4 linked regions of the Alligator mississippiensis genome follow. The protein of the gene in region 1 interacts with the protein of each later gene in a pairwise test. Links are inferred from orthologs where the notes say so. Each region holds a gene or a part of one and is shown on either strand. Other genes may lie near its edges. The genes, in order: MAX, MXI1, PLEKHF2 and UNC45A.

The links.
Region 2: the proteins of MAX (region 1) and MXI1 interact in binary tests that used the Homo sapiens proteins (3 or more experiments, as listed by UniProt). The link is inferred for Alligator mississippiensis from reciprocal best matches to the Homo sapiens genes MAX and MXI1.
Region 3: the proteins of MAX (region 1) and PLEKHF2 interact in binary tests that used the Homo sapiens proteins (3 or more experiments, as listed by UniProt). The two-hybrid records come from large-scale screens. The link is inferred for Alligator mississippiensis from reciprocal best matches to the Homo sapiens genes MAX and PLEKHF2.
Region 4: the proteins of MAX (region 1) and UNC45A interact in binary tests that used the Homo sapiens proteins (3 or more experiments, as listed by UniProt). The two-hybrid records come from large-scale screens. The link is inferred for Alligator mississippiensis from reciprocal best matches to the Homo sapiens genes MAX and UNC45A.

The regions. Positions count from the first base shown.
Region 1 is NC_081825.1:171,679,927-171,686,858, forward strand, and holds the start of MAX (protein max), read right to left. Parts: upstream 3,017-6,932; 5' UTR 2,913-3,016; coding exon 2,877-2,912; intron 2,732-2,876; coding exon 2,705-2,731; intron 1-2,704. UniProt on the Homo sapiens protein: Transcription regulator. Forms a sequence-specific DNA-binding protein complex with MYC or MAD which recognizes the core sequence 5'-CAC[GA]TG-3'. The MYC:MAX complex is a transcriptional activator, whereas the MAD:MAX complex is a repressor.
Region 2 is NC_081829.1:95,203,085-95,210,905, forward strand, and holds the start of MXI1 (max-interacting protein 1), read right to left. Parts: upstream 3,017-7,821; 5' UTR 2,675-3,016; coding exon 2,455-2,674; intron 1-2,454. UniProt on the Homo sapiens protein: Transcriptional repressor. MXI1 binds with MAX to form a sequence-specific DNA-binding protein complex which recognizes the core sequence 5'-CAC[GA]TG-3'. MXI1 thus antagonizes MYC transcriptional activity by competing for MAX.
Region 3 is NC_081826.1:42,918,837-42,926,757, forward strand, and holds the start of PLEKHF2 (pleckstrin homology domain-containing family F member 2), read right to left. Parts: upstream 3,004-7,921; 5' UTR 2,910-3,003; intron 2,422-2,909; exon of another isoform or gene 2,249-2,421; intron 2,196-2,248; exon of another isoform or gene 2,174-2,195; intron 1-2,173. UniProt on the Homo sapiens protein: May play a role in early endosome fusion upstream of RAB5, hence regulating receptor trafficking and fluid-phase transport. Enhances cellular sensitivity to TNF-induced apoptosis.
Region 4 is NC_081834.1:786,281-793,325, reverse strand, and holds the start of UNC45A (protein unc-45 homolog A), read right to left. Parts: upstream 3,004-7,045; 5' UTR 2,961-3,003; coding exon 2,895-2,960; intron 2,442-2,894; coding exon 2,283-2,441; intron 1,659-2,282; coding exon 1,622-1,658; intron 1,534-1,621; coding exon 1,358-1,533; intron 1,256-1,357; coding exon 1,163-1,255; intron 862-1,162; coding exon 694-861; intron 389-693; coding exon 220-388; intron 1-219. Other genes in the region: MAN2A2 (alpha-mannosidase 2x), read right to left, coding at 5,133-5,288, 5,630-5,740, 5,883-6,077, 6,860-6,993.

The sequences.
Region 1 (6,932 bases):
TCAGAATGCCCAGATGTGTCACAGTCTAGGCAATCCCTACAAATTAAACAATCAAGCAGGTGGCCTGAGAAATACCAAACTCTGCAAATGAATACCAGCTCTTGAAAAGCAGCTCCCTGGGAGCCCGTGGTCAAACACTGTGGCCCCGTCACCCAACAAGCCAGCCTTATTCACCAGCATTTGGACTTTGCAACCTAGATTATCTAGACTGGAGGTTTTTGGAAGTGCTGGAGGAGAGCAGCACCACAATTGCTCTGAGGCTGGGGACACAGAGGAATGTATCAGCCAAACTAGAACACTCAGAATCTAAAACCGACTCAAACTGGTTCTAAACTTGGTGTCCCCCTATAACTCACTGAAAATCAACCTGCCCAAATGAAGAGAATTCCTCCACTTCCTATATATTTGAACTGCTGCCAATAGCACAGGACATTGCTGTGTCTGCACCATGATGAGTCTTAAGCAGAAGAAAACCTTTTACTTGAGGGCACGGATCAAGGGGATGCAACACGTGCATGCTCGCTCTGGGATTCCATAGAAAACTGCAGGCCTTGGCACATGCTTGGTCCCGCCTGGCAGCCTGCCACAAGGAAAGGCAGACTTCAGAAAGGGCTCCTGCTTGTGGTCAGCAATCCCACGAGCCCAGGATCTCAGCACAGCAGCTCCCAATATGCACCTGGGTCCCCCAACCTCAGAGATGGACCCTTGCACAAACCCTCACCATTCGTGGCACCCAACCCTGCTCCACGTCCAAAACTCACACCACCTGCTTCTTACAACAGCTGCAATTCCCCTATAGTCTCAGCTGACAGTCTACAGCAGCCTCTCCCCTCAAAACAGCGAACACATAGCAAGAAAGAGTAGACACAGCCTACAGCACACTGCCAGTCCTGCTCCATACCTAACCTCCAGCGTGGCCCATGCACACCACTCCCTCCCCGACTCACTTTCATGCCTTGCCTCAATCAATCCCAAGAGTTAATCCCACCACACATTGTCCTACCCTAGATCCACTACAACATACAATCCAGTCCACATGCATCCCAACAGACCAACCTGACTTAAGCCTACTCCCACAACTCTTCCCGTTGCAGCCTACCCCTGCATGTGCCCCACAACACTCACCCCACCACCACTGCTCTATCCCACTCAAACACAGCTGGCCCCTTCACCTAGAAACAATCTGCACCCTGATGTACAGGGACAATCCCAGCCCAAAATATTTCCCTCCCCACCCCAGATCCCTGCCTATACATACCTGGCCTAGACCATCCTCCCCCCAACCTCTTCCCATATTCAAACCTGGCAGCGCCCATTTCCCCCCACAACCCTGGCCTAGCCCCTTTTGATGTCAGCCCATCCCTACACCAAGCTGAGACCATTTTGCCAATGGGTGACTGGTGCCACCTTAGTGAGGGGGGCACGTGGCCCCCCCCAGCGACAAGTCAGTGACCTGTCACAAAGCCAAGGTCTGGAACGGGCTCCCAAGGGAGGTGGTGCTCTCCCCTACCCTGGGGGTCTTCAAGAGGAGGTTAGATGAGTATCTAGCTGGGGTCATCTAGACCCAGCACTCTTTCCTGCTTATGCAGGGGGTCAGACTCAATGATCTATTGAGGTCCCTTCCAACCCTAACATCTATGAATCTATGAAAAAGCAGCTGCGGTGCTCCTAGAAGCAGGGGGGGGGGGAGCCCTCTGTGGTGTCACCCCCAGCGACCTGAGCGGCGAGTGCAGCCAGTCAGGGGGTGCACCAGCACTCACACGGGATGCACGTGCACCCACTACGCATCACCCATAATTTGGCCTCAACTTGGGTCACCGCATGCCTCACTGAGACCACTGCCCCCACTATCCCTGCCCATGCATAGACACAGCTTAGATTGCTCTGCTGCCTCCTACCCACATACACATTTGGCACAGACCATTCCCCCTCAGCACCTGCATTACTGGTTAAGATCAGTACATGCCCACCTGCACACCACCTCTTGCCCCCATCCTGTGCTGGGCTGAGACCACTCACATGCCAGGCGAGATTGCTTCCATCTGACCTCTGCCCCCCGCCACCAGGCCCAACCCAGAGCATTGCACCCCCCCTCAATCTCTGCCCAGATGTTTCCAGCACACATCCTCCCTCCCAGCACATAAATGCATCCTACTAGACCATTCTCTGCAGCTCACCCATCTGCCCTGGCCCACGCATGCCTGCCTGTCCTTGGTCCCTCTGCCCCAAGCACGCTTGCTCTTGTCACACACAAGCAGCAAGGATCCCAGCCTGTCACATGTCCTGCCCAGCTTAGCCCCCCTAGCACAAACAGATGTGCGCCGTCCCACCCAATAGGAAGACGTGCACTCTGCAGGCGAGGGTCTCCCCAAGCATCGCACACCTGTGCCTGCATCTGCCAGTCTGGTCTGCCCCACGTGCCCCAGCTGGTTCACCCTGGCGGGACTCCCACGCACACGGCACCCGGTGCCTTGTGCAGCCCACGCCAGTGCCCACCCGCAGCTGGACCCACCCCACGGCCCTCCCTGCCCGCGGCCGCGCCTCCCCCGCCCCCGCCGGTCGGCCCATGCAGACGCGCGGCCGTGGCGCCGCGCACAGACGCCGGGTCTAGGGCGAGGCCCCCGCCGCCCCGGCCCCTCCCCACCCCGGGCGGCGGCGCTGCTGGGCCGGGCCGGGCCGGCGGGAAGCAAGGAAAGGCACGTACCGCAGACTGAAACCTCGGCTGCTCCTCCTGCAAGGAGAGAGAGACAGAGAAACACACGCGTTACTGCGCCGCCGCCCGCCCGCCCGCCCGCCCGCGGCACTGCCAAGCCGAGCCGGGCCGGGCCGGGCCAGACCAGACCGAGCCGACGGGGTGGGGGGGGTGCGGCACTCACGTCGCTCTCCACCTCGATGTCATCGTTGTCGCTCATACTGCCGGGCCGGGCCTGCGGGCGCTGCGAGCCGAGCCGAGCCGAGCCGAGCGGGGCCACGGGCAGCACAACAACAGCAGCCGCAGCAGCCGCCCGCACCGCGCAGCCGCCGCCGCCCCGCGGCCGCCCCTGCTCCGCGGGGGCCGCTGGGGGATGGAGTTCGGGCCGCCCGGCCGCCACCGGCGCCCGCCCCCGCCGAACTACCACTCCCGGAGGCCCCCGCGCAGCCCGGTCCCTGCCAGCGCCCCCGCGCGCCTGCGCAGTGGTGGGCGCGGTGCATGCTGGGGGCTGCAGTCCCGGCGAAGGAGGAAGGACTCCGCTTCCCAGCAGCCGGGGAAGGACACGTGGATGGGGCGGCGCGGCCCTGCTTCCGCTCGGGGGGGGAAGGCGTCGTACGGGTCCTCACTCCCTCCCTCGCAGCTCCGAGCCCTGCCCCGGGCGCGCGGGGGACAAGCCTCCTGCATAAGAGGCGGGTGCAGGCGGAGGGAGAGCGCACAGGCCCCTCCGAACAGATACTCGGGAACCAGCGCCTCGCGTTCAAGAGTTGTGAAAGACTTGGCCGAGAACCCCTACGCGCCCTTCCTACTCACTCACGGCGTGCGGGCGGGAACAGCGGCACACACCGCCTGCCCTGCCGGAGCGGAGGCCGCGGTGGGCTGCCCACTGCGGGGAGCCCCGCGCACGTCTGGGGGCACGTGCCCCCTGCCCGGGACTAAGCGGCGGCGAGTTGCGGCCGCACATGCCCCCCAGACTGACCTGCATGCGGGAAGCAGCAGCTCTCGCCTCGCACGCGGCTGCCTCCGGCCCGGCCTTGTGCAGGGCTGTGCGCAGTCACGTGGCGCCTGCGCGTCCGCCCCCAGCAGGCCCCGCGGGCTGCAAGCTGCTGGACAGCGCCCTTTCCCGCCCTGAACGAAGCACCTGCCGCCCGGGTCGGGGACTGGAGGTTTCTAGATTGGGACTTTCTCTTCCGACGAGGGGCGGGTGATCACTGCTTACTAGCGGCATGTCAGGTGTTCATCAGGTTGAAGGGGGCAGGCCTGGGTGATGGTGGGTAACAGTGGTGGTGAGCAAAATCCTGGGATGCCCTTGGCAAAGATGGCAGCTTAGGGCATGGGCGACTGGTGCCTCCCCAGGCGGGGGCAGGGAGCACTTAGCGCAACAGCAGCCAGTCAATGATCAAGGGGGTCCCCCCGTGGCTGATCACACCAATCCAGAAGTGCTGTGCTGCTGGCACTTCCGGGTCGCGCAACACTTCTGGATCAGCGGGGTGGGCTGTGGTCAGCACGATGGACCGTGGGAGGACTGCAGGGATTGCTTCTCCTGGCACCCCCACTCCCCAGCTGGCGCTCTCAGGGCGGACACCAGCGCTCTTGCCTGCCCCACCTGCCCATCACCTAAGCAAGGAGTTGCGCATTTGGTTGGCCAAGTTAACTGTGCTACCAGAACAGGCTTCTCTAACATTTCATGTTATGATTGAAAAAGAGCGTTGTCCACTGTTGGTATTAGAGCTGCACCAATACATCAGTCCAGTATCGGATTGGCACCGATATAAAGAAAACTGACTGTATTGGAAATTGGCTTGATGTAGCCAATTAATGCTCTGTGCGTGCCCACAGCCACAGCACAGCATGTAGGTAACAAGGAGCACAGCTCAGTAGCAAGGAAAGCTGCGTGTAGCTGGTAAGTCTGTTGTAGTGGAAGGGGCATGGGCAGATCAAGGCCCCCATGGTGAGGGAGGGAGTGGGGCTGCAGCAGGTGCTGCCCAGCTGGGGCAGGGTGGGGTGTGGGACACAGCTGGGGCTCGGGGGTGCAAGGATGGGGGAGCTGCTCCCACCACTGCATGCACCCCAGGAGGGCATGGGGGGGGGCTTGTGGCCCCCTGATCAGGGCAGGCTGCAGCTGTGGGCTGGGGCCAGGGCTGCACCGGGCTCTTCCCAGTGGGGACTGGGCTAGGCTGCACTCAGGGTGGGCAGTGTTGCTGGGAGGGGGGTTGAGTGGCTATGACAAATTTTGGGGTGGCTGCAGCTCCGCCCATCCACCATAGCTGCCATTGCCTAGCCCAGCCCTTGCTGGGAAAAGCCCAGCACAACCCCGGCCCGCAGCTGCAGCCCACTCTGCCCGGCCCCACACAGATCCAGGGGCACGTGCTCCCCATGCCCTCCCAGGGTGTGTGCAGCAGCAGGAGCTGCCCCCACCCCCCCTTCCTGTACCTCCCAGATGAGCTATGACTCCCATCCCGCACCCTGCCCTGCCCCAGCCCCACTCTCTCCCTCCCTCACCACAGGGGCCTTGATCTGCCCCTCCATGCCCATTCCCTCCCCACTCCCCCTTCCACCACAACAGACTTAGCAGCTGGACCCGGCTCTTCAAGCTGCCTGGCTGCGTATTGGAAATTGGATTGGTATCGGCCGATATGCCTCCTTAAAAATCGGCTATCAGTACCGGCCCCAAAAAGGTCCATCAGTGCACCCCTAGTTGCTATGGTCAGCATGGCATGGACCCAGGACTGACTTGGCAGAGGCCACACGCAGGGCTGGACTAATCCTTTAGTGTTCCTTACGCAAACAAACTCGTGAGCCCCAGGTTGGTTGAGATCATAGCCACGGCAAAGCAGGCAGAGGGGAGGGGAAGGGAGGCAGATGGGGCCGTTTGTGCTGCTGCCGTAGAGGAAAGGACCAAGGCCCCTGCAGCCCAGGGCCCTAGGCATGTGCCTAGTATGTGTTAATCCGGCCCTGATCACACAAGTCTTTGTCAATGGCAGGGCCAGAAGAGAACACCTGCAATTGTAGAAACCATTTCCATGGGGAGTGTTTCTCAGGGTTCCTGTGAGTCAGACTCAACTCAGCAGCCTGTGTGGTAAGAGATAGTCACCCTTCAGGCCTTTTATTCTGCTTCCAAATAGATTGGCGTAGCACAGGTTCCATGTCACAGTCACTCTCCCTTTGTCCCAGCCAAGGTATTCTGAGAATCCCATCTCCTCCCTTGGGATTGTGCTGCCTGGCCATCACTGGGCCAGTAACTCCTGTTACTTGCTCTGGCCCAGCTTTTGCTGGCTTATATGAGATCCAAGTGATCTCCTAGGCATCACCTCAACCCTATCTTCTCTGCATCTGCTGGGGGCCAGGTAGCTAGTCACAAGTGGGATGAGGCCCAAGTCCTTTCAAGTGCCAGCTGTCCTGTGCCCAAAATCCATCTGCAGCCCAGGGTAGAAGTAGAAGCATACAGACAGATGCCACCAAGCTGTGCAGAGTAGAAGCAGGTCAGCTCTGCAACATCATCCGTATCATTTCATAGCTTAGTTAAGGCCGCAAATTATGTATCTGGGGGAGCTGAGCTGGCTGGGGAGTGCATCCTGGATGGCAATGATGCTGAGATAGGATCAGATAACCTCAGGGGCGGGTCTGGGATTTGGCAAAGTGGGGTTCAGGAGCAGCCAGCTGAGCACCCCCCACTCCCAGATTCCACTCCCACAACCCACCTGTTGGGGAAACAGCACTGCAGGAGCCTCTGGGAGCATTTTAAAGGTCCCAGAGCAGGTGAGCATCCCCCAAACTCTCCTTCTCTTCTTCCCCCTCCAATCATGCTGCCTTCCCTGCTGTTGGGGTGGGGGTGGGGGTGGGGGAAAGCTTCAGAGCTGCTCTTGCCCACTCCTGCAGGGCTGTGCAGGGGCTGGGCTTAGCTGAGAACAGCAGTTAGAATGGGGGGGGGGGGTCCAATTTCCCAGACCCCACAAGAGCAGGGGAAGGAAGCTGCTGTTGCTGTCACTGCCCTAGGTGAGCCCAGCCCTCTCCCATACCCCAACAGTCCAGTTGGAGTAGACAGGAACAGCTCTGAAGTTTCCCCCACCCCCAGAACAACAAGGAAATGCAGCAGTAACTGGCTGCTTTCCCCAGACTGGCTCTAGCAGCACTGTCCAGGCCAAAAGGGGGTGGTGGGATGTAGCCACCCCACTGCACTCCCTCTGTATCTGCCCCTGAATAACCTCTGAATGGTATCTGATGGGGCAGCTGGGACCCAAGC
Region 2 (7,821 bases), on another chromosome or scaffold:
TGCTATTGCTAACAAGCACTTCCAGGCTGCAAAGATAAGGGTGCAGATGTTATTGATGTCTTTGTCAGCTGGCCTCTAAAGGGAGAATGGTGCAATAGTTCCTGCTCTGTCTGAGAGGCTAAAGGGCACGGTACCCTTTTGCTATAATAATCTGAGTTGAAGATGTAAATCTCCATCCACTAGGAATGAGAATATACTTTGAGACAGATCTTTCCCTAGTAGATGCCCGGGGCCTGTAACGCTGGCAGATCATCTTCCAATCCAGGTAGCCTTTTTCCTTTGTTTGGGAGCAACATGCTCGCATGGCACTATCCAGCTGTTTTACGATGATCGTATTTTGAACTACAAATGCAAGGCAGCATGAGATGGATACAGCTCTGCAATACCGCGCATTTGAACCGCATGTGCAGGCCTTGTGCTGTTTTTAGAAATAAAAATGGAAAGTTTTGCCAAACCTGCTATGAACAGATTTTCTTTCTTAAAGCATTATAATAGTTGCAAGGAAGACAGGGAGTGCGGAAGAGGGCTGTTTAGATGGACATGTTCCCTTTGTGGGATTTTGCACCATAAATCCAAGCAGCAGCGCACACGGTTTAGAAAGTGAAACAGACCCGTCCGTCTTCACGGTCCAAGCTTATTGCAATGCAAAAACCGAGCAAGAAATTTGGCAGCAATTATTTAAAAAAACCCCTACACATAACGCTGGTGTTCTGAGCCTAAACAAAAAGAAAACCTTGGTTTTAAACCTCTCTGATCCTTTTAAGACCAGATTCTTTTAAAAAAAAAAATGCAGCAGTAGCAGACTCGATCGCTGTTAGTGGTTTTAAAAATAAGGTCGTTATTTCTGCAAGGTATCGCGTGTCATTTTTCCTCTCTTCTCACCGACATCTAAATTGTTTATAGAGCCAAATGCTTTGGTCTCTGGAGACAGCGAGTACAACAGCATCATGCAAATGTAAGAAAATACAAGTTAATTAATTGAACTTTTAAAAACATGAATGCACGCTCCATCCGTGTATTTATGACTAGCCGACGTGCATCTCAGCACAGAGAAGCCATGGCTTTCAATTAATCCCCCCCACGGCTTTGACAGAAGGGCAGCTTCTCTGAAACGCGATCGTTTTCTCTCGCAGCTCGGGCAGATAAAGCTGCGCCTGCTAAACAAGGGCATCCTCTATTCAGAACTGCATGGTAACCGTGCAGCTGCTAATCAGGGGAGCTCCCTGCCCACAAAGATATACGGTAATTAATGTGCACCGTGCCATTCACAAGCATCTCGAGCCTTCGGCACAAAAACGAATGGAAAGCAGAGCAGAGCGCTGCAAAGCTTCCCGCAAAGACGGGGAAAAACAAAAGGACTCGAGTTTGATTCTTAGGGGAAAAGAATCGCATCGGGGCAGGACTCTCACGACCGCGATTGTTTCACTCGCTGTCCGCAAAAAAATGACGTCCGTGTCGGCCCCCTCCCCCAGGGCCCGCACAGTCCCAGCATACACCCAGCGTGTTCCCAGTTTGTGCCCAGTACACACCCTCACCAGTAAATTCCTAGTATATACCCAGCCAGTACGCTGCAATGTGTATCCCCCCCCGCCCCCCCAGGCCAGTGTACTCTTGGTCTATACTCAGCACGTCGCCCCCAGCCAGCGTACCCCAGTTCATGCCCAGTATACACCCCCCAGCCAGTGCCCTCCTAGTACATGCCCAGCATATTCCCCCCTCCAGTATATTCCCAGTCCATACCCAGTATATACCCCCCCCAGCCAGTGCATTCCTAGCGTACACCCAGCGTACTGCCCCCAGGCAGCATATGCCCAGTTCACACCAGGATATTCCCAGTAGATTCCCCTCCCCCCGGCCGGTGCACACCCGTGCACCCAGTTTGCACACTCAGGACAACCCCCCCCTTCCCCAGGACTGCGCCGCGCGGCCCCTTTAAGAAGCACCATGACATCATCCCACCCCAACAGCCGCCCCCTCCGCTCCGGGCTCAGCAACGCGTGACGTCAGGCAGGGGGCTGCGGGCGCCCGCGATTGGCCGAGCCGCCACGCCCCCCCCGCGCGGCCGGGCCAATGGGAGCGCAGGAACCCGTCTCCATGTGGAAGCCATGTGGCCGCTGTTGGGGGGCGGGGCCTGGCGCTGGAAGGGGAGGGGAGGGGAGGGGGCACCGGAGGGGAGCGTTCCCCCCCCCCGGACACTGCCGTGCGCGGTACAAGCACCAACAAAGCCTCATTGCATCCATCATGGGGGGGGGGCATGCATTCGTCTCCCTCCTGCAACACCTCCAAAAACACCCCCCGAGGATGCCCCGCGCTCCGCTGCCCCCGAAAGCCCGCCGTGGGAGCGCGGGGGCGGCCGCACGACGCGCCGCGGCGCACACAGACGTGCTTAGACCGCTTCAGAACGGGGCCGCGCGCCCCCCCCCATCTATCTCCCCCGCCGCCGCCGCCGCTTACTTTTATTCTCCTTCTCGATCTGCTCCAGGTAGCTGGCGGCCTCCAGCAGCAGCTGCACGTTGTGCAGGAAAGTGCCGAGCTGCTCGCGAGACGCCTCCCGGGTGTTGCAGATGTCCCCGAGCGGGCAGCGGGGCAGCCAGCCCTCGGCCGCCGGCCCCGAGCCGCCCTCCTCCTCCTCCTCGCCCCGCAGCTCCTTCCTCGGCCGGCCCCGCTTCCCCATGGGCTCCGAGCGCGGCTGCCCCGGTCGCAGTGGTGTGCGTGCGCGTGTGCGCGGAGCGGAGTGAATGAATCAAGAGGCGTCCGTCCGTCCGTCCTGCCTGCCCGCCTGCGAGGCGGCGCCGCGGTCCTAGCGCTCCTGAGCCTGCTCACAGCGCAAGGTGAACGGGAAGAGGGAGCTGCGCCTCCTCGCTGGCCCGGGAGGACGCAGGCAGCCCCTCGGACAGCGCTGGCAGAACAACCCCACTTGTTCCTTTTCTTTTCTTTTCTTTTCTTTCTTTCCCCGAGTTGTTGCTGCCGGTGCCGCGTGTGCACCGGGCTGCCAGGTGGAGGGGGCAGATGAAAACCTGCTGTCTCATGGTTTTGGCTCCCCCCGCCACCCCCTCTCCTGGAGCCCTGTAGAGGTCGGGCTCGTTTTTCAACTGCCGGGTGGTTTTTGTTCCTGCCACCTAAACGTATCGGGATCTGGACGCAGCAGGGACGCCTTCTGCAAGCATTATAGTCTTATAGGAAACAGAGCAAATATTTCTCCTGGCAAAGTACCGGGTGCAACACTTCAGACAGTCTGATGAGACCTAAAAAAACAACCCCAAGCCTCCCTGTTCCTCCTCTTTGGGGATGGAGATTGCAGGTCTTTGCCTGTCGTCCCTACGTGTGTACTGGGAGCCTGGAATAGACGCTGTTCGTTTTGGGGTGGGGGGGGGGTCAAGGTGCCGCTGCAACCATGAACGCCACGGGCCCCGGAGCCTCAGCCATTTCTCATAAAAGCTGGGATTTGCCTTGATCCAAAGTTCCCCATCACAGAGGGTGCAGACAGAAGTGACAATTTGCACCCCATCTGGGGGCAGAAAGCAGTCGATACCCGTGACCAAACACAAGTGCACAGGTGCAGACATCGCCAACGAGGTGAAAACCTCACGGCACAACCCCAAGCTGCATCTCGGCTACGCATCTTCCATCCTAGAGGTGCCTGCGTTGCAAATCGAGAGAGGCTCGTACACAACCCACTGCCGTGGGGCCTCATGGAGATGCTGCTCAGTGTTACCAAACTAGAAGAAAAAGGTGAATAATGAACATATGGGTGGATCTAGGATTTCAGAAAGGGGGGTGTATATGGTGTGGTGCATCGTCACATGTAACACAGCACATATTTTTATCAAATTAAAAAGAAACAAGAAGCCTTAGTGATAAGCTAGGGCTGTATTAATCATTATTATTCAGTTTATGATTGGAGCACAAAAGAAATAGAAATGTATTGGAATGGGCATTAGTTTGCTGTGTCGTGTATTATGCATAAAAACACAGCAAACGAAGCAAAAATAACCCAAATACATTGTTTCGTTAGTCTTGCGCTGATTTGAACGAAGTGCACCTCTAAAACAAAAGCCTGCTTTGAGCATCTTGACTCTGCATCCAGTGCATCACGGACAGTTACTTCCACCCTTGAGCTGATTTTAGCTAGGGTTCAAAACAATCTGCAGGGCTATGCATTACCGCATACAGATACCAAGCAGCAGAGACACAGAAGAAAAGCGGATCTGATTAGCCGAACATCAAGGCCTTTCAAAGGAGAGAGGGGCATTCATATCTGTGGGATGAAAGAATCAGGAGTGTAATGAGCCGTGGAGTCAACCGAGTCCTTCGCTGCTGCCCGAATAGAAATGCTGCTCCACTCCTGGGCAGTTGGTTTGATAGTTTGGGTGGAGCAGGAAGCAACCGAGATTGCAGCAGTGCACCTGCCCCCAACGATCATTTCCATTGTCAAAAGAAATGGGTGTCTCTGCGGGTGTGATCCACAAACAAAATGACTCATCCCTTCAGAAGACAGTTCTGACCTGGGCCTGCTCCCTTTTCCGAGCTGTAATCCAGCCGCTAATTCTTGTAAAGCATGGTCTGCGAGCCAGAACAGATCAAACAGATGGGTGATCTCCAAATTGTTCCTCCCTCCATCCCTCTGCTGACACACCCAGACTCCAGGCCATCACACCCCGAGATTGGAGAACGCTTCCCTCCCATCTTGCTGGGGTTAGGTCACGTATGCAAGCAGGGCTAAACTAGGAACACCATGTTTCTGAGGACCTGGGCCGCGGGTGGAAGTTTGCATGTCAATGGGAGAATCCCTCCATCTGCACTTTCAGTGGGGATATTGGGATCGATTCTCAGCTGCCCGACTTGAGACCTGCCCTCAGTGGAAGGGCTTGATTTTGTGCAGGTGCTCGACAGCCCGAGATGAGAACCACTACCGTTGTGCTCTCGGGCCTCACTGATGCACCTGGTAGCAGTCCTGAGCGCTGCGGAGCAAACTGCTGAACGAAGCTCTGCTTGCTTTGGCCCCGATACAGCAGGGTGCACGTGCAAACACCTGCCCAGACGCAAGCAAGTTGTTCCACTGATTAAACGTAGATGCTTGCTTCAATGGGAGCAATTTTTAGACATTCTTACTATGTATTAAGGACTCCCTGGAACAGCACAGAATCACTGAAGGATCGTGTAAAACTGGCCCGAGTACTGGAGAACAGGCTATGCGATGAGGTGCAATTCTGCACTCGAGTGATCCAAATGATACCATCCCACTGGTCTCCTCCAATTTCTGATTTACATACAGCTATGCCTTCTACTCATCTGATTATTATCATTTATTATCATGGGCACCTAGGAGCCCCTGTGGATACCAGCTGGACCAAGTGCTATACAGGCACAGGAGAAAGTCCAGAGTGGGTTTGGACAGTGAAGACATGCGGTTTGTGTGCGAGGACGTGGTGGAGAGGGAGCCATTGAAGAGATGCAAAGTGAAGGTGACCCTGAGCAGCCCTGAACCAGGAAAATAACCCTTGTTCCAGCATTTTGAATGGGAACCAAAAGGCACCTGGTTGCATTTGTGATGACTGGAGAGGGAGAGGTCACAGTAAAGAAGAAGTAATAAGATAATGAAAGTCTGGATGAAGCTCTAGCTTGTGGATGGAGAAGAAAAGCTGGATCTTAGTCACATGGAACAAGAAGAATTCACCAGGACGGGAAGAAAGGACTGCGTCGAAGCTGACACCCCAATGCCAGAAGGATGTCAGACACTCGAGAAAGTGGATGCAAGGGGAAGAGAGATATAAAGAGCTCCTTTTGCCCATTTTTGCTGTGAGCTGCGGACCGGACATCCACAAAGAGGTGCCAGGAGGCCAGGGATAGATTTTAGTTTGGACGAAAGGGCCTGGTCAGGAGTGAAGAAGTAGACATGAACATCACCAACCAAGACGAGAGGTGAAACGCGTCTCCCAGATGGTGTTAAACATCTCTGAGCAGTGTTTGAAACGGAGTTTTATTTAATTTATGGCCCCAGCTAACCGAGATGACGCAGCCCCTGCTTCACACGTGCACCCTGTCAACCAGCCTCGTGAAACTATCGGTCCCGGAGACGCCTGCTTTCTAATTGCAGAATGACCAGGACAGCAAGGAGGAGCCCAAAATTATGGCCACTGGGTTTCAGCATGAATCACATCAGCCAGAGACTGAATCACACGCAGGTGAATGCAACACAGCTGGTCCTGGCGACCTCCACCCCAGAGCGCTGAGGGAATGAGCGGAGGTCATTGCGGGACCCCTGGCTCGGCATTACGAGCACTCGTGGTGCTCTGGTGTGGTGCCGGAGGACTGGAAAAGGGCCAATGTGGTTCCCAGTTTCAAAAAAGGGAGGAAGGAGGACTCAGGGAACCATAGGCCAGTCAGTCTTACCTCGATCCTAGGTAAACTTTTGGAGAGAATTATCCTGGCGCATGTCCACGTGGGGCCGGCAGGGGAGGTTATGCTTGGGGGCAACCAACATGGGTTCATTCGAGGCAGGTCCTGTCAGACCAACCTGGTGGCCTTCTATGACCAGGTCACAAAATCCTTGGACGCAGGTGTCTCGGTGGACGTAGTGTTTCTGGACTTTAGGAAGGCCTTTGACACTCTCTCACCTAGTCTCATTAAAAACCTAGGGGATTGTGGTGTCGACACCTACACAGTCAAATGGATCACTAACTGGCTGGAGGGCCGCACCCAGAGAGTGGTGGTGGACGGGTCATTTTCAACCTCGAGGGATGTGGGCAGTGGGGTCCCCCAGGGCTCGGTGCTCGGGCCCGCACTGTTCAACATCTTCATCGGCGACTTGGATGAGGCAATAAAAAGCACCCTGTTCAAATTCACAGATGACACTAAGATGTGGGGGGATGTGGGCATGCTAGAAGGGAGGAATAGGCTGCAATCAGACCTGGACAGGTTACAGGGGTGGGCAGATGAGAACAGGATGGGTTTCAACACTGACAAGTGCAAGGTGCTGCACCTGGGGAGGAAGAACCAGCAGGCATGCCTACAGGCTGGGGAACTCCCTTCTCATCAGTGCAGAGGCAGAAAAGGATCTTGGAGTCCTCATTGATGCCAAAATGAACGTGGGCCAGCAGTGTGGGGATGCGGTCAGGAAGGCCAACCGCACCTTGTCGTGCACCCACAGATGCATCTCAAGCAGGTCCAAGGAGGTGATCCTCCCCCTCTACGCAACACTGGTCAGGCCGCAGGTGGAGTACTGCGTCCAGTTCTGGGCGCCACACTTCAGGAGGGATGTGGACAGCATGGAGAGGGTCCAGAGGAGGGCCACCCGCATGATCGGGGGGCAGCAGGGCAGGCCCTACGAGGAGAGTCTACTGGACCTGAACCTGTTCAGCCTCCACAAGAGAAGGCTGAGAGGGGATCTGGTGGCCGTCTACAAACCAGTCAGGGGGGACCAGCAGGCATTGGGGGAGTCCCTGTTCCCCTGAGCACTCCCAGGAGTGACTAGAAATACCAGTCACAAGCTGGCAGAGGGTAGATTCAGGCTAGATATCAGGAGGCGCCACTTCACAGTCAGGGCGGCTAGGGCCTGGAACCAACTTCCAAGAGAAGTGGTGCTGGCTCCTGCCCTGGGGGTCTTTAAGAGGAAGCTGGATGAACACCTTGCTGGGGTCGTTTGACCCCAGTACTCTTTCCTGCCATGGCAGGGGGTCAGACTAGATGATCTGCTCAGGTCCCTTCTGACCCGACCAGCTGTGAAACTATGAAACACAGTCCTTAACCTGGAGAATATCTTCACCGATTTTACTCTGTTTGTTTGAACTTCAAAAGGAAAGAGCTTCTCAGCACCGAAAG
Region 3 (7,921 bases), on another chromosome or scaffold:
ATATTTTAGGGAAAAAAAAGTTCCAGTATTTAAAGTCCACTAATTTCACTGTTTAATTCATTTATACAAAATGCATAAAGTACTTTGAACTGCATATATGATAAATAAACCTACCTGGCTTATTATTTAGAACAAAGAAAATAGTAATTGAAGCAAGTGACTAACAATCCTATAAAATGAAATATTTGAACTTCAAAAATAATTTTTAAAATTCTTAAGTTACTATCAAGTTTTGTTTTTACCTACAGTAGTATGTATGCAAAGACACACCATAAGATCCAAGGTATTTATATTGTAGCAACTTTATGAACTCTGACCTAACTGTAAAAAAAATTAAGAGCCAAAATAAGTACGCAGCAGTATAATTCATGACTGTCTGTAAACTGTAAAGCAAGTCTTATTCACACAAGCAGCCCCAATTCCTTTAGCAGAACTTCTCAAATTAGCAATCTGCAGGACTCAACTTGCTACAGCAGCTGTCATCACTTGTTTTACCACACTGAAGAGTATTTTAATGCTTTTATAAACATGATCTTCCATACATGTCTACAGATAAGTTTCTCTATCCACTTCACTCCCACCACTACAAAAATAAGTGCTGAACTAAATCCCTTGGAACAAAAGCAACTTTATATTTGATTAGGGAAGGACAAGCTTTTTAAAACTTATGATTACATTTTAAAAACATATTTTGCATAATTTACCTTTTCAAACAAAAATATATATTACATTTTAAAAATTAAGTTAAACCATTAAATTTACCAGCACACACAAATGCCATATTTGGAAGTGACAACTGGTATTACAAATCATGTGAACTAAAATAAAACTTGAATATTAAATATACTGAAGTCTATTAAAAACTAGCTAGCCCATTGCTGTAGAACAAAACTTATTTAGAGTACTGCTCAGTTTTTATTTTTGGTTTCTCTTCTTTCGCACAAGCAAGACATCTTTCAGAGAATATTTTAGATGTAAGCAAACATGTCTGGCTGAAGCCAACCCTGAAGTTTCTTTACTTGTCTTCATTAATACATACTAGCAGCCCATTAGTTTAACTAACTCAGCATTACCCTAATACTGAGAGCCCAGTTAATGTATTTGACCAAGTGTCAGAATTACAACTACACAGCATTTCAAATATTTTAGTCAACAGGCATATTTTCTTCAACATACTCGAATCATCTCTGTTATTATCTACATGCTCTACTTCAACTTCGAGTATCTAGCCTTCACAGCTGTGAAGATAATTGTGACCAGAGTGCACAAAAGAGCCCGTTTTGCATGCTCTACCATAAGCACAGCCCGAAACAATTTTATGTCTTCAGTGAAGGCACCCAAACTGCTGTCCAGACAAGACTGATACAAAACAATCAAGTCCTATGCATTTTTCACCTCCATTAAAGGCCTACCAAAACATCTGAATATAACCATTAAAGTGATTATCAACAGAATTAGTTAATACACAGCTGGGAATCTGGAAGCTGGAGCAGGTTGAAAAATGCAGAAGAAAGTAGCAAGCCCTGAATTTATGTCCCAGTCCGCAGCCTATAATTTAAAAAACAAAATTAATCCCTCTTCACAAAATGTGTTTCCCCTCTAATTTCAGACTGTTAGGTACATCTTTACAAAAAAAGATACTCATCTATTTAACTCTGAATGACATGAAGGAAGCAGCAGCAGCAGCTTCCACTCCTGCCTCAAGCCTCTACACATCAGTATTACATTTATAATTCAAGCAACTCCATCCATCTACTTTCATATACAGCAGCAACCTCCTCAAAGCTTCCAAAGCCCCGAGATATATTTTGTATGCAAGAGCCAGGAATCTGGGGCCAACAAAGATGATAGGGTTTCAGAGTCACCATGTCCTAGGCTGCTGGACTTTCTCTGAATGATATTTACAGCCAATATCTGTACTGCTTGAAACACCTCAGACACCTGGAAAATGAGTTGAGCTGGAGTGTAAAGTGAGCTATTACAGTGGAAACAAGACTCTCACTTTGCACTAATCTCCTTAACAGCTCCTTGCTTATTAAAATGTAATATTTAGATTAAACAGTTTTAAAATGAAAGGCTTAATTCAGAGCTAGATGCCAGTCGCTGGTACTACTGACACAGGCAAGCACTACAGAGCTCATACAGCGAAGCCAGGCAGCAACGCAATCCTCACCGTCTACTGTAGGAAGAAAGCCCCCAGATTCCTAAAAATAACTCTGTTAACGCCCCACAAACTTCTCCAAGTGACCTGAAAGTTTAGCTACCGCTGGATTTCTCTCTCACTCGGAAGCCAGGAGGAAGCGGCGAGCCGAGCTGTGCCGTGCCGTGCCGTGCCGTGCCATGCTCGAACCAACCTCGCGTTACTCGGGTCTGTTGGAAATGTCACTCCCCCGTTCCCAACTCATCCGTTCAGCCCGACCTCGAGTGAAGGCGTTTCCCGCCGCCCGCCCGCCCGCGCTGGGCTCCGCCACCCCGGGCCGGGCCCGACCCACCCCAGCCACCAGCAGTTTGCTCCTGCTGCGACTCCTCCAGCCCGGCCTGTCCCGGGCTACAGACCGCACAAAGCGGGGACGCGGAGTCAGCAGCCGGGCTGCTCAGTACGGCCGGGGCTTGGGCACGGGGAGCTGCAGGCCACGGCTCCCCATCGCCGCTGCCCGGCCCGGGACCAGAAGGGGAAGGCGAAGGACCGAGCGGGGCTGCCTGAAGGCCGGGAGGGAGAGGAGCCTTTTCCTCCCGAGCGGCTCCCCGGGGCGGGGCGGGGCCTGAGCCTCGGCCGCCTGGCCACGGGGCGCAGGGCCCGGCAGAGGCAGCCACGGCCACGGCCCCGGGGGCTCCCGACATGGCCGCGGAGCCCGCGCAGGGACGGCGCCGCCAGCCAAAGTTTGTCCCGCGCGAGCGACCACACTCACCCGGCCCGGCCCGTCCTGCCGCGCCGCTCCCCGCTCCGCTCCCCGCTCGGGCAGCCGAGCCGACCCCGCCCCGCCGGGCTCCCACTCTGGGACTGGCTGCAGGCCCCGCCCGGCCGGGCGCAGGGGAGGGGCCGGCGCCATCTTGGGGAGGCTGGGGCAGGGCCGCCTCCCCGCGCGGCTGCTCTCCCCGGGCGCGGGGAGGCCGTGTCCGCCCGCGGGGCCTTGCCTGTGTGGGGCGCAGCGCGGTTCGCCCGGCCCGGCCCGGCTGGGGAGATGGCCTGCGGGAGGGTGTCCGGCTCCCTGCAGCCCTACTGGCTGCCTGCGCCTTTATGCACCCCCAGGCCCTCCTGGGCCACCTGGCCCTGGCCACGGTACACCTGACCAGGCTGGAGGGAGGGAGGACCCCCCAGGCCTGCAGCGCCACTTTCATAGCTGTAGGGTCGGAGGGGACCTCAGGAGATCATGGAGTCCGACCCCGGCCTGGGCAGGAAAGCGCGCAGGGCTCACACAACCCCAGCCAGGTGCTTGTGCAGCCTCCTCTTCAAGACCCCCTGAGCTCTTGGTGAAGCACCACCTCCCTTGGGAGCCCATCACAGATTTTGGCAACCCTCACCATAAAGAATTTTTTCCTGTTGTCTAATCTACATCTGCTCCCCATCAGTTTGTGGCTGTTGTTCCTAGTAACCCCAAGGGGTGCCTGGGCAAACTTGAGTATCCCCTATTCCTTGCTGCCCCTCCCAGTGAACTTCTAGGCAGCCACAAGGTCCCCTCTCAGCTGTCTCTTGTGGAGGCTGAAGAGATTCAAGGTCCCACAATCTCTCCTCATAGGATCTTACCTGCAGGCCCCTAACCATACCAGTGGCCCTCTGGACCCTCTCAAGGTTATCCGCATCCCTCTTGAAGTGCAGTGTCCAGAACTGGACACAATGCTCCAGCTGCAGCCTGACCAGTGCTGCACAGAGGGGAAGTATCACCTCGCTTTCCCATCCCTCCTCTGTTCTCCAGGCAGTGTCCACTGGCTCCTTCAACTAGTTCAGGGGCCTGTAGGCACTGTCCGGTGTCCTCTGCTCCCTGTCCCCACTGGCTGCACTCGTTTTGAACCTGTGACCCTCACCCCCATCGCTGTTTTGTCTTGGTTGTCCCAAGCGGTCACTGACATGTCCTTAGTGGCCATCCTCATTGAGTGGGGGCTTCTAGCTCTGCTCCGTTGGCTGTGTCCCACGTTCTGGAACAGCATAGCATCAAAAGGCCTGCTGGAGCTGAGCCCCAAGTGCCTGATACGGCCTCAGGGGACGGCTTTGATCACTTCCAATTGCCGAAGAGAAATGGATTATCGTGGGTGAAACTTGCTGGGCATCCGTTGCTCACCTCACCCTCTTTCCTCTTTGCTGCATGTCTTATGGCAGCTTCCGTGGCAAGCTCTAGGATTTTGAAAAGGGGTGTGCAGATGGTGAGGTGCATCATCACATATAACACAATTTTTCTCCAGTTAGAAATAGACTACATTAAGAAATAGCATTATTAAGACACTAGGGGTCTAAGGCTGTATGATTCCATTTCTATTAGAAACAAAAACAAATATATCTTAGTTGGAGTGAGTTGAATACAATCTGCAGGGCTGTGGAGAGACCAGAATTGCAGAACAAAGGAGAGCTTGATTGGTGGAACATGAAGACCATTAAAAAGAAGAGGGCTGGTAACAGCTGGGGATTGAAGAGTTTAGAAAGGATCCGGTAGATTATAATGAGCCATGAAGTCCATTGACTCCCTCAGCACTGCCTGACTAGAAATACTGCCGCCACTGCCAGGCAGGTGGTTTTAAACTTTGGCTGGAGCAGTAATCAAAGTGGGGTGCAAGCGCACCAGTGCTCTCCCCCAGATCCTCCCCTGTCAGCTTCTGTTTTGTTAAATGTAAGCATTTGTACTATCTTCCAAGATGTTATGCCCTCATATCCTCCACAGGATTGCCTTTTAACACATCTTTTGTTTTGCCCATTTTTGACTGAGGTTTCTATGGCATGGTGCCACCCAGAATAGCTTTCCATCTAATGTATGTGAAGCTCATTCCCTCTCCAATAAAACTTCTAAAGAACCCCTTTTCCTGAGGTAATCAGACTGAGAAGCACTCACATTTTGTGTTGTACTAGCTAGGCCTTTTGGATTGTAAGATTCTCAGATCCAGGATCTGGTAACTGTACAAGACACTTCATCTATATACATAGTTCTCTAAACTTTTTCCATATAACATGCTGCTCTCATTTAGGCTGGATCAAGGTGACTGGTCTGGAAAGTAGTTGCACCACCTAGTTACAAAACCATGATCTTTTACAGTGTGGTGGTTTTGGGTTGGTGGTGTTGGTGGTTGTTGGTCAGGTGGTGGGTTGGTGGTGTTGGTCAGGTGGTGGGTTGCAACTCCTACAAAAGTGATCAGAAGGTGTTGAAAATTCTGTTATGCATCAGAAGTAAGCAGTATCTTGTTCCCCTACTCCTTGCACACCTTTACCATTCAAAACAAGAAGTATTCATCAGAAGAATTATCATTATTATAAATGTTATAAACCTTTTACTTTTATAACATGTTTCAGCAGGTCATGAAGATTTTTCACTTTGAGTAAGGGCTTGCCAACCTGAAACAGCTAAGAAACACTGATCTGTTGTACAGTATCCTGTATACCAAAAATACCACATAAATAATAAAATCCTGTTTCCTAAAGAATAGCCCCATATTTCTAATTTAAATTGCCATTTCAATTTTGTGAAATATTTTTCAACCTTTATTATTCTAGGGGATGTATTCATTAGCTTCAGGTTTATCATCTATTTGGATAAGTTTAGAACCACACGAATTTTACAAAGGTATTTGTGTAAGTGATGTGAAATGTCATGGGTCTTAAAATTGCTTTTGTTGCCTGTGAAAAGTTTAGAGATTTGATATTTTTTCCTGTGATACAATGATGATATACAAAGGTATGACTTCTGTGTCACAGCCTCCTGACTCATCAGCATGTACAAGTCTGTGCTTGTGAAATAAACTGCACCAACAGTTTGAACCATTAAGTTTCATTTAACTGTAGTGAGGTTTAAATTATCTAGCTGTCATGTTCAGCTAATTTGAATAGCAAAAGGAAACAGCCCCAAATCCTTAATCTATGGTCATTTCAAATTATAAAATCAAATGGAGAGAAGTTAAAAGGGAACGATTAGTCCATTAAAGTTCCTGGTTTCAGTGTTATTAGCAGGGATCCTGGTTTTCTCTGTTTAAAAAAAATCCCAAATTCTCCAATAAAAAACCCCAAGTTCTCTGATAAAAATGTAAAATCTGCATTATTCCACAATTAGGATGAAATTAAATGCCACTACACACACACACACACCCTCCCTATGTAGGTACATATAGGTATCAGTTTAACACTATGCTTTATTGATATATTTACAATTTTAGAGCAATTTGGAAGCCTACCAGTGACTCAGTCATTATAATAAAATTCTAAATACCTGAATATTTTGGTGTTTGATTTTGGATTTTTGATCATGGAAAATCAGAGCTCCACCCCCTTCATTCATCAGAACACGAGTCCAGCTGCAGCTGTCCCACCTGCTGCTTCGTGGTTCTGAGCAACCCTTATATATGGGTGCCCTGCCATTGCCCATACCAGTGTCCCTCACTCCCGACCCACAGCTCCCCCAGCCCTGCTAGTGCCCCACCCCACTTCCCCCCAGGCCCCAGTATGGGAAGAAGGGGGTGAGTGTGCAGGGAAGGCGGGGTGTGGACACAAACAACACATTGTGGGGAAAGAAACAGGGGCAGCAGCATGGAGTTGTGCACCCAACTGCTGCTGGGTGGGCAGGGGGCACTTCACCTTGGTGTCCATGGCTGCACAGCGCTCCCTCTCCTTCCGCTTCTCACTGCAGCCCTGTGCCTCACTGTGGGTACAGAAATCTGGGGGACACATTATCTGTGCCCTTCCACCTCCGACGCATCACTTGTGCTCCCATCCCACCCCCCACTCCCATAGGCTTACCTGCAGGGAGCTGTAGGAGGTGCTCTCCACCACACTGCCTAACCCTAACCCTACTCCCCCACCCCTTGCAGGCTAAAACTCTGCCAGCCTGCAAGGGAAAACCCAAGGTTTCCCAATTTTGAGAAAATATGCATTTTTCCACAGAAAACAGAAAACCCAGATCCCTGGCTATTACTATTATTCATGTTTACAAAGCCACTGTTCCAAATGTGAATGTGATTTTTTGTTTTTTCAGGGGATGGGAGGTTAACTTTAGGAATAATTCCTTCCCTGGCCCCAGTGGAACATAACACATAGGACTAAGACCTACATCATCAAATCTAGCATGTTATGCTGCATGAGGTTTTCTCTGTTTGGGTTCTGTTAGCTACCTGGTCTTGTCATCGTTTTCTTCATGGTCAGAACGTACAAGTGACACAAACTGCTGCCATTCAGTAGGCTGGAGTACTTTCCATAGAGTACCTAAGTACTTCATGGTCTGGAACAAGGATGGCCAACCTGTTTCATGGGTGCCACAAGTGGCACGGGCAGCCTCTGTGCATGGCACATGGCACACTGGGGAGGGGGCAGTCGGGTAGACATCACATTCAGTTTACGAATGTAGTCACCTCCCATTCAGTTTTTTCTGTGGATCTTCTCCTTAAAATGTGGGAGTTATTTTTCCACTCCTACTAGTGTCGTTGTTCCTTCCTGAGAATTCTTCAGTTTGGTTATATTAAAAAAAAAGCCTGAAACAGAACACAGAACATGTTTACAAGACGTAAACTGTCTTTCAAGTCTAACATCAGACTATGTAAAATGACACCACCTTTCTTAACAGATCAGCTTCCTGCATATCTACAGAATCATCTCATTCGGCTTTAGTGCCAGAAATTCAGGGCAAAATCTTTACCTGCTATATATCAGCATAGTTTCAACAGCTTCAGTGGAGCTATACCAAGTTACATCAGTTAAGGATCTAGTTCTAAGTTTTTACTTTCTTTTATTTCT
Region 4 (7,045 bases), on another chromosome or scaffold:
CCTGCCAGCTGGGCACCGGGGCATGCAGCTCTTTCACAACCCAGCCCCCAAGGCTGCCAGCAGCACCCCAGCCACGCCTGCCTCTTGCCCCCCTCAGCAGGAACCAGATCCTGGGGACACAGGGTGCAGGCCCCACAGCAGAAGGCTGGGCTACGACATGAGGTGCCAGGAGGGGTGCCCACTTCCCCTGCTGTGCCCACAGAGGCACCCGCCGCTCACCCAGCACAAGGGCGTCCTCCTTGCCACGCACGTCCCGCTGCAGCCCCTCCTTGAGCGCGTCGATCATGACCTGCAGCAGGTTGCAGGCCGCCAGCGAGACCTGCTCATGCTCCGCGCCCAGCAGCCCTGAGAGGCGCGGCGGCCCCAGCTCCGCCAGGATGGCCGTGGTCTGCGGGCACAGGGACGGTTGCTGCCAGGGGAGCCCCAGGTGCCCAGCCCCAGCCCCATGTCAATGTGCGGCTTCTTGTTGCCACACCCCTGGCCCTAGCACCTCCACACTCCTGGCCCCAGCACCTCGTGCCCATCACGGCTGGGGGGCAGCCCCCAGCATTCAGGAGAGCAGAGAGGCCTTGCTGGCGAGACACTGGTCCCAGCTGGGCTGCAGCCGCTGGGTCAGCCACACCCCTGCTGCGGGAGCCCTCCCCCTGGCACGGCTGACGGGATGGGGGAGCGCGGTGTGGCGCACGGCCCTACCCGGGAGCGGTGGCCAGAGCAGAGACCGACCAGGGTGCGCAGGGCGGCCAGCATGGTGTCAGCCTCGCCCGCCTCCAGCAACTGCTGCAGCAGGCGCACGCCATCGCTCTGGAAGATCTTCTCCGCCCCCGGCTCCTCGCGCGCCAGCACGATCAGGTTCTGCGCAGCCTGCGAGGGAGCAAGAGTCACGGCCAGGTGCCAGCGCCCGTGCCCCACCCCACCGGCACTTGTGCCCCTGCAGAGGAGCCAGGACCAGCCGTCACCCAGGCCCCAATGCATCGGGCACCCCGGCAGGGCCTTGCCACAGCCGCCCCCTTCGGGGCCTCAAGCAGCCGCTTTCTGCACAGCTCAGAGGCTCCGCACCCAGGGCCTTGGCGGCCTCTCAGCACCACGGCTTGTGTGTGACCCCCACTCGCCCTCCCAGAGCCCCTGCCCCCAGCCAAGCTAGCCCCCCTCCTTCCCCACGCACCTTCTGCCTCTTGTCCGCGTCCTTCTCCTCGGGGTCCAGCAGGATCTGGAACATCTGCTGCACTTTGGAGTCCGTGCAGGACATGGCCTTCATCTGGGACAGATGGATGAGCAAGTCAGGGGGGACGGACGGGCTCCAACACGCAGCAGGGGCTGCGGCTGGCCCAGGGGCGAGGGGCAGGGTGGGGGGCTCCACCTTCTCCTGCACGCTGCTGCCCAGGTCGCGCAGCGCCTCCTGGAAGGCCTTGTTCCGGGGCTCCAGGCTCACGCAGCGCTGCAGGTCCTGGGCGGCCTGGTCCAGCCGGCCCAGCTGCCGCAGCGCCTGGCTGCGGCGGAACAGCGCCTTCACGTCACGCCCGTCCGCCTCGATGGCTGAGCATGGGGGAGAGGAGCGTCAGGGGGCCGGAGCCCCGGCGGATGGCGCCCGCACTGGCCTGGCCCCTGCCCAGCCCGCCGGTACCTTTAGATGCATCGGCTTCTGCTTGGAGATAATCCTCCTGCAAGGACAGACGCGGGTGAGGGAGGCCGATCCGTGTGCCGCAGTGCTGGACCCGGGGTCTCGCCAGCCCCGATCCTGGCCCAGATTCTGACAGTGCCTGCAGCTGGGGGGCCACAGCGCTGCCCCTTTCCCCCCCCCGGCGAGACAGGCGGCAGAGAGGAGTCACCACCGCGCACGCGCTCAGTCAGCACGAGCCGTGTGTGCTGCGCCCTGCGCGGGGGCAGGAGCTCGCTGGCGCCAGAGGGCAGCAACGAGCCCCGGGGACATCGGAGCCCGCGGGCCCCATCCTGGAGGGAGCCCCAGGCAGCCGGGGCGCGGCGCACGGGGGCTCGCTCGCTCCTCGTGACCCAGCACCGGCCGGGCTGTGGCCCCAGGCACCCGGACCCCGCTGCCCTTCCCTGCGGCGCGTTAACGGGCCCCGGGGCTCAGGAACGGACCCGCGGCGCGCTGCCAGGGGCAGCCAGATGGCTCCGCGGCCACCCGGCGCTGCCTCCAGCCCCCGCGTCGGGGCGCGGCGCGAAGGCTGGGCTGGGATGGGCCGGGCAGGCTGGCGTGCGTGCATGTGCGTGTGCAAACCTGTGCCGCCCCGCCCTGCCCCGCACACCCGCCCCCGCGGTCTCACCAGCTTGAGGTGGCAGGCGGCGCGGTTGCGGTGCAGCACGGCGCGCTCCGGCGCCCGGTCGCACAGGCCCAGCGCCCGCGTGTAGGCGGCCAGCGCCGCCTCGTAGTCCCCGGCCTGGAACAGCTCGTTGCCCTGCGCCCGCAGCTGCCCCGGCACCGCCTGCGGCACGGCCGGCCTCAGGGGCAGCGCGGGCTGGGCACCCCGGGGGCACCCCCACCCCGGGGGGGGACCCTGGCCCTGGGGAGCACCCCCACCCCCGGGAGTAACCCTGCCCCCGGGGAGCACCCCCACCCCCGCCCCGGGGGGTACCCGCACCCCTGGCGGTGGGAGGGTGGGCCCATGGGGATGGGGCACTGTGGGGGGGGCACGGCCGGGCTGTGGGCAGAGCCCTGGGGGAGGAGGGGGGGCAGCAGGGGTGACGAGGGTCAGGGGTCACTGTGCCAGGGGAGGACCATGGGGCCCCCAGGGCGGGGGCGGGGTCACGTGGGGGCCTTGGGGACCCCCCCGAGAGATGGGGCCAGGGTCACGTGGGGCAGGGGCCGTGGGACCCCCGTGGGCTGGGGTCACGTGGCAGAGAGGGCGGGGCAAGGGGCAAGGGGGGGTCGCGCTCACCGGCTCTTCCATGGCGACTCCCGTCCGCGCCGCTCCCGCCGCCGGCCCCGCCCCCGATGACGCCATGGCCTCCGACTCCGCCCAGGGGCGTGGCCGGGCGGGCGGGGGGCGGGGCGTGGATCCTACCTGTGCTGGCGGCGGCGGCGGTGCAGCGCGTCCGCCACAACGAGCGCCGCCACGAGCAGCCCGTAGAGCGCCACGGCCGCCTGCGCCAGCGCGCTCCTGGGGGCGGGGCGGAGCGGGGCGGGGCGTTCACTCGGGAGCCGAACGACGGCCGCCCCCCCACTCCCCCCCCCCCGGGGCTCACCGGAGCGCGGCGGGGCCGGGCGCGCGGGTGGCGTTGCGGGGGCCGGGGCCGGGGCCGGGGCCGGGCGGGCGGGCGCAGCAGGACTTGAGCGCGGCGGGGCGCGGGCGGCAGCAGAAGCGGAGCTCGGCGCTGTCCGAGAGGCGCGGGCAGGCGAAGCCGGCGTGGGCGCGGCCGTCGGGCCCGGCGTAACCCTCGCACAGGTGCGGGCCGCGGGCTCGGGCTGCGGGCCGGGCCGGGCCGGGGTCACCCGGGGGCAGGGCGCACGGCGGGGTGGCCCCGGGAGCGCGGCCGGGGCAGGGGCAGCGGGCTCGGGGGCGCCTGCCTACCTGCGGCGAGGAGCAGCCCCAGCCCCAGCACGACCCCGGCCAGCAGCATCTCGCGCTCGGCGGCCGCACACGGCGACGCGCCTCGCCTCGCCTCGCCTCGCCCCGCCGGGACCGGCCCGGAGGCAGCAGCATCGCGGGCGCTAACGAGCCCCCCGGGACCGCCCGCCCGCCCGCCCGGCCGGGGCAGCGCAGCGCAGCGCAGCGCAGCACGGGCGGGGCGGGGCGAGGGGCTCAGCACCCCGCGTGGGGCCCGGTGCCCCGGCCTGGCCCCAGGGCCTCCGTTAGCAGCCGCTGGGGGCAGGAGCCCACGACCCCCGCACCGCCCCCGCAGGCGCCTGGGGGCACGCGGCTGCCCCTTCCTTCCCGCCCGCGTCGCGTCGCGTCGCGTCACTGCCCGCCGCGGAGGGCACCCGGGAGGGCCGCACACGCCGAGGGGCCGCCGCACGGGTCGGCACGGGCACGGGCACGGGCACGGCCCGCCGCCGGCGCCCGCAAGCGGCACTGGGGCGGCTGCTCGCCCTACGCCCGCATCCGGCCCCCAGCCCGCACGGCCGGCCGCTGCACCCCCCCCACCCTGGGCCCGCTGCGCTGCTGCCCGGCCCGACCCGACCCGCGCGGCCGCGGCCAGGCCTCCCCCGCCCTGCCCCGGTGCCGAGGGACCCGGCCGGGGCCAGGAGGGAGCTTGGCCTGGCGTCAGGCTGAGACCGGCTGGGCCCAGCCCTGCATCCGGGCGCAGCGCGGCCCCTCGGGGGGCAGTAATTGGTCCGGGGGGGTTCAGCGACACCGGTGCCCGTAGCAACCAGAGGGAGGTGCGGGGGGGGAGGAAAGCACCAGAAGCTCACACGTGGCCCCAGCCCCGGTGCCAGCCTAGGGACCCAGGGCCGGCCGGCCAGTCGGGGATGCCCCTGACACCTGGTTAAAGGCACCAGGAGATGCGGCACAAACCCGCCCGGCGTGGGGAGGGACGGGGCAGAGACCCCCAGCTGGGCTAAATGCTCCCCATCCTGCCCGGCTCGTGCCCAGGCAGGCCTGGCCCGCGAGAGCCCCCGGGCGCATGGAGGCACATGGACACAGGGCGCTTGTTTCCTAGAAGCTCATGATGTGCTCGGCCAACTCAGTCTCTGCCCCGTGCAGTCCATCACCGCCCCAGCTGGCAGCCCGTCCTGCCCCGGGGGCAGCGCTGCACCACGCTGGGGGGCAGAGTCCGGGCCTCGCCCCAGCCCAGCAGGCTCCAGCATCTGCTCCTGGGGCTGGGAGGTGCCGGAGACACGTCACACCTCCCTGCTGGGGCAGCAGGGTCCTGCCACCGCTGCGCTCCTGCCCCGGGAGCCACCGTGCCTGCCCCAGTCCAAGCACGGGGTCCATCCGTCGCACCCAGGCGCAGGCAGCCGCTGGACAGCGATGCCTGCCGGTCCCGCCCGGCACAGCCGTGCCTCTGCCCCTTCCGGATGAGCTGGGGCGCAGAGTCACAAACAGCAGCCACGGGTCTACGAGTCCAGCTGCCCTCGTGCGGCAGCCCGGCCAGATCTCCTGCTGCCCGGGAGTCACCCGTGCCCCCAGCGGGGCCCTGCCGTGCCCGGGGCCGCTCGCGCTCCGTGGCAGGGCCTATCCGAAGCGGAGGCGGAAGGTGGCGATTTCCATGGGCTCCAGGTGGATCACAGTGTTGTTGGCGGAGGCGGTGCCCAGCGGGTACATCAGTGTCAGTGAGGTGGGCTGGAGAGAGCCCAGCTCCAGCCCCTGGAACAGGCTCCCCAGCACCAGCTGCAGGGGGGAGACGTTGGCTGAGAGGGGGGCACAGCCCCCGGCATAGCCCACACCTCCCGTGGCCCTGGCCACCACCCGTGTGCAGGGAGCTGCTCCGGGTTGCAGTGGGTGGCCCCACAGCAGTTGCAGCAGGGTCAGACCTCGCATGCCATGTCCCAGGCCCTCAAAACCAGCGCCATCTCCGCAGCCCTGCACGTGACCCAAAGCCGCCCCACACCACTGCCAGCCAGTGCCCTGAGAGCCCAGCGCTGCCCACAGGGAGCAGAGCACCAGGGCAGGCAGGCGCCAGGCCAGGGAGAGCGGGATGGCGCCAGAGCCAGCGCTGCCTCTGCCCCTACCTTGCCCTGGCTGGTGGTGCAGTTGAAGCCCAGGTTCTTGGCCTCCAGCCCACAGTCGAAGCCCTTGCGGTGCAGGATCAGGGCGGCCTCAGCTGAGGGCAGCGAGTCGTCCTGGGGAAGCAGATGCAATTGCCGCAGAGCTGCCATGGGGCAGGACCGGTTGGGGCACCAGCCCCCAGGAGCAGAGGCCCCTCCACCCTGTCCCTGCCCGTGCCCAGCGGGCCGGACTTGGTGCTGGGCAGCCGGCGCTCACCTCGGCCTGCAGCGTGCGGAGGTTGAGGATGTGGAAGTCGCAGGGCACCGTGCCGGCCAGGGGCAGGAAGGAGCGCAGGGCAGGCAGCGCCGTCTTCTCCTGGGCCACAGGCATCACCAGGACCTCGGCGTTGAGGTGCATGGAGGTGGCATGGCTCAGCAGCGAGGGGAAGCTGGTGGGGCGGCTGTCCTGCACCTGCACCGCAGCGAGCCACGCGGTGAGCACGCTGGAGCCACCAGGACCCAGCACACAGGGCATCTTGCCAGGCCTTGCCACGGGCGGGGGGTGTCTCTTGCTCTGGTCCAAGCCACGGGGCAGGGGCTGACCAGCAGGGGTGGGAGCTCTGCCCAGAACTGGTCTGTAGCTCCCTGCCCCCAACCTGGCCTGGGGAATAACACCCCATCCCCCAGGCAGACCTGGGCTGGAGGATGTGGGGCAGGGCTGCCATGGGGCACTGGCACCCCAGCCCCCGTTGCCACCCCTGGCGCCCCAGCCAGGACCCCCGGGCTACTCTAGTGCTGACTACCAGCTGGCTACAGGTGAGCGGTAGGGCCCGCGCTACGCTACGGATACCAGCGGCTAGCACACGGGACGGGCGCAGGGCAGGGGCAGGCGCCCGTTACCTCTTGGCTGCCAGCACTGGTGCCCAGGGCGGCCAGGTCTCTAAACACGGAGGCCAGCTTGGACAAGAAGCCGGAGCGCTGGGGGTGTGGGTAGGGGTGGGAGGCGGCGGGGCGGGACGAGAAGAGCCAGGTCACAAGGAGCCACCCGGCACCGGGCCCAGACACGGCCAGCTGGGCACCTCCCCACGCGCCCGCCCCGGAGCCACGCAGCCCGGTGCAGGGTGTGCACCGCTGGGTGCAGGGAGGGGAGGGAACTTGTGCCGCGCTGATGCTCCCTCCCTCCCGCCTCAGCCCTGCTTCTCCAGGGCCTGGACCAGCGGGGTTGCCCCCTCCCCGCCCCCATGAGCCCCTGACCTTGTTGGCCGTGGTGCGGCGCTCCAGCAGGAGCCGGAAGCGGCTCCACGTCCGTTTGTTGTCCTTCAGCCCCTGGCCCAGCCCGCGGTTGTCGTCCTGCACAAGCCGCCGGTCCAAGATCACCTCCAGCTGGCCTGCGAGAGCCGGCAGGGCTGGCCTGTGACAGCAGGCACGTGCCGCCCTGCC